2 linked regions of the Nothobranchius furzeri genome follow. The protein of the gene in region 1 binds, or shares a complex with, the protein of each later gene. Links are inferred from orthologs where the notes say so. Each region holds a gene or a part of one and is shown on either strand. Other genes may lie near its edges. The genes, in order: ksr1a and map2k1.

What was found.
Region 2: the proteins of ksr1a (region 1) and map2k1 are in contact, whole or in part, in a crystal structure (PDB 9AXH), measured with the Homo sapiens proteins. The link is inferred for Nothobranchius furzeri from reciprocal best matches to the Homo sapiens genes KSR1 and MAP2K1. Residues at the interface, in XP_011523731.1 of Homo sapiens: Asn767, Gln768, Leu769, Lys770, Leu771, Ser772, His773, Leu776, Val784, Arg785, Met787, Thr788, Pro789, Asn823, Gln824, Ala825, Ala826, Glu827, Ala828, Ser829, Ile830, Trp831, Gln832, Gly834, Ser835; in NP_002746.1 of Homo sapiens: Asp217, Ala220, Asn221, Ser222, Phe223, Val224, Gly225, Thr226, Arg227, Ser228, Met230, Arg234, Leu235, Gln236, Gly237, Met308, Ala309, Ile310, Phe311, Leu314, Asp315, Val318, Asn319.

What each region holds. Positions count from the first base shown.
Region 1 is NC_091750.1:49,826,511-49,830,764, forward strand, and holds the start of ksr1a (kinase suppressor of Ras 1), read right to left. Parts: upstream 3,010-4,254; 5' UTR 2,798-3,009; coding exon 2,588-2,797; intron 1-2,587.
Region 2 is NC_091744.1:66,095,805-66,100,127, forward strand, and holds the start of map2k1 (dual specificity mitogen-activated protein kinase kinase 1), read right to left. Parts: upstream 3,004-4,323; 5' UTR 2,853-3,003; coding exon 2,770-2,852; intron 1-2,769. UniProt on the Homo sapiens protein: Dual specificity protein kinase which acts as an essential component of the MAP kinase signal transduction pathway.

The sequences.
Region 1 (4,254 bases):
CATCCAGAGTTGCTGCAAGATCTCATTTCATTGGGATGAAGTTGGGCTGGGTATTAAATCGAAAATGTATCGTTATCAAAATTAAGGCTGCCACGATTAGTCGACGCGTCATGACGACGATTAATTTAATAGTCGACGCGTTGTTTATTGTATGAGCATTTTTTAAATCTCACCTGCTGCGGCACGTTCGGCATTTGCTTCCTGCCTCTCTGCTCAACGCACATGTGCGCTAGCCGCCACCCGTGTCAGCCGCTGCTTACGTGAGTCGAGGCACATGCGCAGTAGTGCCACTGCAGCTCAGCATTCAAATCAGAATCACTTACTCGCATCATGGCGAGTCGGCAACGGAGCTCAATGGTTTGTGAGCATTTTATGAAAACAACTGAGAAGTAGAGTGCAAACTCTGTAAGGTAAAACTCTTGTTTCACAGGAGCACATCGACGATGCACGAGCATCTTAAAAGGAAGCACGTGACGGCGGAGAACAAAGAGTCGCCTCTAAGTTTACCTCTTGTTAGCTGCTAGCATCATAGGTGTAGCAACAATAGTAGTGATGGCGATTATATGTTTAGAACACGTATCTATGTCACGTATTTGCTTTAACGTTACAAACGCTAACCGCTACGTTACAGTGCTAAGTGCTCTTCTTCTACAACGGACAAGTTTCTTACAAGGCCAAACACGTGCACACTGCAACAAGCCAACGTCCTGACCAAGGCCATTTTAAACATGCTGGTAATAGACACGAGACCCCGTTCATGGTCGGAGATCAAGGTTTTAAAGATATGATCAAGAAGTTCAACCCAGAATACTATACAAAATAATTAACCAGGCCGAGTACATTTCATCACAATGACAGAAAGGAAATATGAGACGACCATCGAAAAGGTGTGTATCTGTGGGCGTGTGACAGAATGCATGACACACGATTAGTCGACTAATCAGCAACAAAACTGGCAATTACTCGACTAATAAAATAGTCGTTTGTGGCAGCCCTAATCAAAATGTCTAACTCTTATCAAGAAAATGTTTCCCATGTCAATAAAATTGATAGTAAAACAATGAAAAGATGTGTGTAGGTTGGCAACGTCGCTGCACCACCTTGAGTCACGTAATGCATGTGACACCCGGACAACTTTTGTTTCTGCGCATACATGTAGTTATCGTCCATTAATCGTAATCAAGGTGAAATCCTCAATGTATCGTGATATTTACTTTAGGCCATATTGCCCCGCCCTAGGATGAAGGCAGGAAAAACTGCTGCCACCTAGCAGTCAGAGTTAGAATTGCACCAAATAAAGAAATACAGTACATGTTTGCGTGTAAATTCTAATAAAAAATATCGATATGCTGCTTTCAGTGATTGATATATATATAAAAATAACAGGAAAGCACCGATATGAAATTTTGGGCTGATATATATATATATATATATATATATATATATATATATATATATACATATATATATATATATCAGCATACATCATACATATATATATATATATGACACGCTGACATTTATGCTTCTGAAATCAGCAGATTTTGCATAAACTGAAAATTGTGCAAGCTGAATTTTTGAATGCCTTGCCTTATTTCTCTCACCCTCAGACACACAGACGGAATGAAGATGGAAAAAGAATCATTCGTTGATATCGGCCCAGTTTCACATATCAGACTGATACAGATATTTTTTTAAATGACCAACATCGGCCAATACCAATATTGATGCAGATATATCGCGCATCCCTATGAAACTTCACAGTATCACAATGCATCAACATTTTCTTAGATCTCTTATATAAAACAGTTTTAACATGGGTCATTTATACACTTCATCAATCTGTTTTAGAGGCATTTCGGTGCAAAAATCTCCTAAGTGGAATCATGTAGAATTGATATTAACTAGCCAATATACTATAAATATCTGTAAAAGTCATTATAATTAAAATCATTAACATTCAACGAAAATAAAAGTGTTTTCAATTTGATTCTATGAAGGCAAAAAGAATCTGAGGTTGACCAGGTCTAAAACATTTTTAAAGTGGAACCAATGTGCAGAGTCACCAGGCGTGACGTGGTTGGAGAATATCCTGGAAATGGATGGTTTCTGGGGGTGAAAACGTGGATTCTTCCTGTGAAATGACAGTGACTGTGCATCCGCATGCATGAGAACATCGACCATGCCTGCAAATCACATGGAGCGTGTGTGGTTTTTATATTCTAGGGCCTGGATTTACAAATCCAGCCCGACGCTGCTGAATACAGTAACAGATCAGATTATTGAATGTGTGCCATTAGGCCAGGCACGGGGGGGAGAGGGGGGATGCTGCTCCAGACAAATAACGCAGAAGGTCACGCAAATATCATGATTTAACAAATGTATCCGTATTTGATCAGAACCCCTGACATAAAGCTAATTGGATCATTTTGGGTCGTGAATGCATCGCAGAGCGTCAGCGGCGCACCGGGCTCTGCACCGGGAGCCTCGCTTGCAGCAGCCCCGTAATTCTGCTCAAATTCAGGCGGACATGGGGCTCCGTGACTCCGCATTTTAACCAACCAGACAGCCCCGGAGCGCTCGTTACCTCTAAAGTGCGTATTTCTTGCTGTGTGAGGTCGTTGGATGCGGCGCATTTGGTCCGTAGCCCCTGTAAACTGGAGATGGAGATATCAATCATATTCTGGATGAGTTCGCATTGCTGGAGCGCGGCCATCGCTCCGCCGCCGCCGTCCCTCCGCTCCGGCTGCTCATCACTCTCGACCATCTTCCCACCTTTAGCAGACACGCTATCCATTCCTCAGCATTTGGGCTCGGCTGGAAGGGCTGGAGTCAAACTGCTGAGCTCAAATAAAACATAAGTCCATCGACGCAGCGACCTATTAATTGCGGAAGAAGTTAGCTGACAGTCCCAGGCGCGCGACCTTTTAAAACAAAACCAAAAACTACTGGCGAGGGCAAACTGAAAGAGTTTCTAGAAATACTGTGTTAGCAGGCAGCTAAAAGGTCTCCGGTGTCCGTTAAGAGTCGGGTTGTGTATTTCCCGTCCACCGACAGCTCAGGCAGAGGCTTCGCCGTCTGTCAGCTGTTGGGAACGTCATGTTGCGCGGTGCATTCTGGGAAATAAAGTCCCACTGGCCACAAAAAGGGGGCTCTTCGCACTACACCTCCCGTCCTCCACCCACCCATCAACTCAACAACCGAACTGTGCAGGTTATTTTTCTATAGAGGCAAAAACATTAGTGATGATGGCTGCGTTCCATTTTTATGACCTGCTAGGGGCCGGTTGAGGCATTATTGGAGCTGCTGCAGAAAAAAGGAAGGTGGAAAAATTCAAATTTAGGTCAAAATGGAGAAAACTTTTAAATATTAAAAAGAAAAGTTGGATGTTTCATAGCCCGAGGAATAAACACAAAGTGTTCTACAGAATGTTTTTGTTTGTGTTTTTATTATTTTTAAACTGGGGGTGATTTATTTATGTATTTATTTATTTTGTTTGCAAAAGTCTGTTTTGGTTCAGTAGAGCCTGTCCCAAGCCATTGTGACTCATTAGGCCAGTAAAATCAAAGGTGTGTTGGCATTTACCTGATGACGTCTGGTGTTAAAAATATACATGCAGACTCACTTTCGGCAATGTTTTAACAGCACAAAGCTTTTTATGTTTTGTTCAGTGCGTTTCCTGGAAAAGGTGAGTATTTATTATGCACAAATAAAGAAAAATGCAACTAAATAACATAATTTAGTAGTAGAAAGAAGAAGCAATTTTAAAACCACAAGGCGCTTCACAAAAACAAAAAATACAAAAAATATTTGAAAATATTTTAATAAAAAAGGGGAAGGTGAACATTTTAGATTAAAAATGTAAAGAAAGAAAAGAATGAATGCAAAACAGGTAATCACGGGATCTCGAGCAAAACAGAACAGCAGCATGAAGAAAAAGCTAGTGAGGAAGAATGAGCAGGAGGTCCCACCAAAGCCAGCCTGAACAGATGAGTTTTCAGCTGCTTTTTAAAGGAGACCGCTGAGTCCACTGATCTCATGCTCAGGGGGTTCTAGGTCTGGGCGTCACAACAGCAAAAGATCTGTCAGAATACCGTAAATGAATCCGAGTTGAGGAGTAATCCAGTTTCTCCTGCACTGGTTTTAGCAAAAAGTGGCCCGAGGGAGGAGGCTAGCAATGCCACAGTGAATAATCACTACCTTTCACCTCCTCGTGTGAGGCACAGTGCACTGTCATTACCCTGAGCGGAGCAC
Region 2 (4,323 bases), on another chromosome or scaffold:
ATTCATAATTTTTCTTGTCAAAATTTGGCATACGAACTGCTAAAGAAACTGCTAACCTGCTCCAGTGTTCTAAACTTTACAGCAGCTTTAAAAAAGCTGCAACACACGTTGGTCTTGGCTGTGTTTAGCCTAGCCGTTAGCTCATCCATCCAGAAGATCATAAATACAATCCCTTTGAATGACGCTCATTCAAGGCACTTGCTACATTTGAGTAGTAAAATGTATCAGTTTTTTACAAGAAACACTTTTCAAAATAAAAAAAACTATGCCTCAAAGCTTTAGAAGGCTAAGACTGCTCTTTTGTAGGATAAAGAACCAGTTTATCAAACTTTTGTCAACAGATTTATCACAGGGCACAACAGTGGAGTTTAAACAGAGAAAAGATTCCAAATCTCTGAATCATCATTGTTGCCTCGTCTGCCCCTTGTCCCATTGCAGCCTGCCCTAGAGCAGCAGGAGGAATGTGAACGCCTCAACAAATATTATGTCACCATCATCAGTTTCTGTTGCACAATAGATTTAATAGTTAGTTAACTAGATTGGTTTTATTTAAATCCAGCCTTGCTGAAATCGTCAAACAGATGTCTGATTTGCATCTATTCTGAATTATACCTCTCAGAACTGTCACGTTTTTATTTCTATCTAATGCAGTTTGATTTTAGCTTATTGCATTTTTAAATATTCACAGCAGAGTCCACAGATGGCCTCCACATGTGTGATCTAATGATGGAACAATGAAATATTGTGCCTCAACAACACTTTACAGAAGCAGTTCTCACTTTGGCTGATGTTATGCAATTCTCCTCTCAGCTGATCCAGTAAGAATGACTGTGCTTGTCTCCACAGAACAAAACTAGACTTTAGCACAATGTCACAACAAGTTTATATCTCTGTTACATTGTTTTAGCCCCCTAGAAAGTGGTGGAAGAAAGCTGCTGCACCAATTAATGAACAAATGATTATTTAGCATTCTGCTTTGCTGCACAGTGAGCATGAAGCTACTTATAAAGGAGGTTTATTGCACTTTGATCCAATCACGCAACAAAATTAACCCTTTGATGCATGAATTATGAAATCTTCAACCATGATTTTTTAAACAATTTTTTTCATTCGTCTTTAGGTGTGAATGAAACAAATTTCAACAAATATTTTTTGTAAAATTTTATAATTTACAAATAATTTATTACATGTCCACTTCAGTGGGCAGCATGCATTCTGAGCATGAAATATGTTGGCTTGGCTTACTGAAGTCCAAACGGAGGGGCTCAAATGCAATAAAGTCTTCAACAGTTGTGCTTAATAGCAAAAACAAATAAATAACAATTTTGAGTACCTGTCCACTGTAGTGACCATTATGCATCAAAGGGTTAAAATGAAGTTATGACAAAAACAAACATTTAATAAATTATTGATAATATCTGGAAATGTCAGATTAACTGCAGGTTCTGAAACAACTGAATCTGTACATTTTCAGTTAAATTAAGGAATTAAGAATTCTGGATTATCACCTGCAGATATCTGAAAATTCAACCTTTATTATGTATTAACTTAAGATTGCTGATAAAGTTAAGCAAATATTGAGTTTTTTAAAAACATGTGTAGCAATGTTAAAAATTGATTTGAATCTAATATTAAGAACAAATAATAAATATATTATTAGTGACAATAATAATCTCTATCTATCTATCTATCTATCTATCTATCTATCTATCTATCTATCTATCTATCTATCTATCTATCTATCTATCTATCTATCTATATATATATATATATATATATAATCAGACTATTCAACAGATGGAGCAAAAATCACCAAAGTTTAGTTAGAAAAATCAATAATTTCTTCATTTAGGTAAATATAATATTACTATTTATCTAAGGATGTATCTATAGGGAGCTTAAGTCACTTCCGCATCATGGGTCCCCGGAAGAACGAAAAAATGAATGCAAGTCAACGGGGCTAAAAACGCTATTTTCTAATCCGCTTTGTCTTACACCCTGGATCACACATATGTTGTACTGCAATTTAAATGAAAACTAATGGTGGGTGTTTTGACCATGCCAGTCACGTACTTAGAGATTTATTAGCTTGTAAATGCATGACTACAAACTAGAAATCGGTACGTCGCATATGTGACGTCACCACATTATCTCCTCTCCCAAAATAGCTGCTACTAACTACATGACCAGATTTATGATGGTTCTTTCTTCCTGTGGGAAGTTTGATGAATTTACAGCCATGTTCCTTCAGTTTTGTCAGTGTCTGGTTCGATGACGTCACTTTCATGAATCGCATTTGTAGTCCTGGACTTCTTTTCACACAAAAACTAAAATATCGTTTCCCTCTGTTCGAAAATAAACACGTCCTTGGTATCAAAACGCGTCTTTAAAATTCACGGACATCATATGTGAAAGCCATGGCTAAAAACAAGCGGAATTAAAAAATAGCGTTTTAAGCCCCATTGATTTGCATTCATTTTTTCGTTCCTCCGGGGACCCATGGTGTGGAAGTGACGGCTCCCTATAATCAGCAATGTTTATAATCGGTCCACACACACACACACACACACACACACACACACACACACACACACACACACACACACACACACACACACACACACACACACACACACACACACACACACCACACACACACACACACACCTGGTGCAGTCTCATAACTGACGCACAGACACACACCCATCCGTTCTCCTGAATCTAACGCAGATGATGCAGATTTTGGATGAGAACCTAAGCATCACTCACTCAGAGGCTCCGGTTCCGTTGACAGCGTTCCCATCAGGAATCGGGTTCAGCTGGATCGGTTCTGGTTTCCTCCTTTTCTGCATGTTGTTGAGCAGGAGAGGCAGCAGTAGAGAGAAGGAGCTGTGGAGTCACAATCCGTGGCTAGAAGAACCAGAGCTGTCATGAACTGAAGCTGCTGATGTGCTGAGCGGATGGACGTGACTGAGTAGAAACAGCACGACAATATTTACGCAGGTAAAAAAAAAAAAAATTACACAGGTCTTCCGGACAGCGTGGATAGACGTGGTGCAGGGCGCCCTCTGCTGGTGGTAGCTGAGTTCACCACGGAGATGAGAACGTCCAAGAGGACAGACCTGGACATTCATTTCTGATAAACCTCCGCCTTGTAGAGTCAGCTCCACATACTGTCAGTAAATCCAGTGTAAAGAGCCCCGTAGAGCTATTTATCCTTTAATTGTTATTCAGATTTTTAAAATGAGTTATTTGCTTTCTTTATATTTTTGGATGCCTTGCAAAGTTTAGTGGTAACAATTATTTCATTTTTGTTTGTTTTATCATTAGAAGTCAGGTCAGCCAGGAAGAACTCTGGGCCTTCTTTCTATAAATGATATTGGACCAGCATCATGCGCTGGTGTGCACCTATTTTTATTTTTACCAGCGCAGGAGAAACAGCAGGAAACCAAACAAAGATGGATAATTATTGCTTCTCAAATCAGACAAACAAATGAAACACTCAAGTTTTTGGGACATTGGACTTCTTTTGTCTGCATACAAAATAGCACCACAATGCAGCAGTGGCTTAAAGATTTTATGAATGAATGATAGTTTTGTTATAAGCACAGTGTCACCTCTCCAGAATATAAGTGGTGAAAACAAGTCATTCATTTGGTTGTCCTACTTTTATTTCAAAGTAAAAACAAAAGAAGCTTTAAACGCACCATTCATGTTAAAAAACATGCTGACAGAGGTTTTTATATTTGACACATGAAAGGATGAAAAATATTGCTTAAGAGAGCATTGGTGAACCCAGAGTTGTGTTCTTTCTGTATTCCATTCCTGTTGTAGGTATTTCACCACACACCACCACATCTGGTTCAGTTGACTGTTTGTTTATTGATCTTTCAACATTCTGTATATAATCGTCACAGTTTTAATCATAGAGAAAGACTCCAAATGTTAAAGAGCAAGAAAAGATTTGAAACTATGAAAATGACAATGCCATCAAAGCTAAACCAACAAATGGCTAAATACAGTTTATCATAGCCATTTAAATCTCAAACCATATCGATTTAATCATTCCATAATTCATGGAGGGCACCATATGACTGTGCTGTACACGTTCATTGTTGCCTTGGGTCGGGACTAAAGGCCAACCAGTATTGTTTTTTTGATTGCCAAAACCGATGCCGATACGTTGAGGTCACGATCAGCCGATGGCCCATATGTGCTGCCAATTTTTTGGGTTGATTTTCATGGCCGATATCTAAACATTTTCCACTTTATTTGCATGCTAAAATGTGTCTACAATAAGATCAGTTGAATACAGTTTAAAAG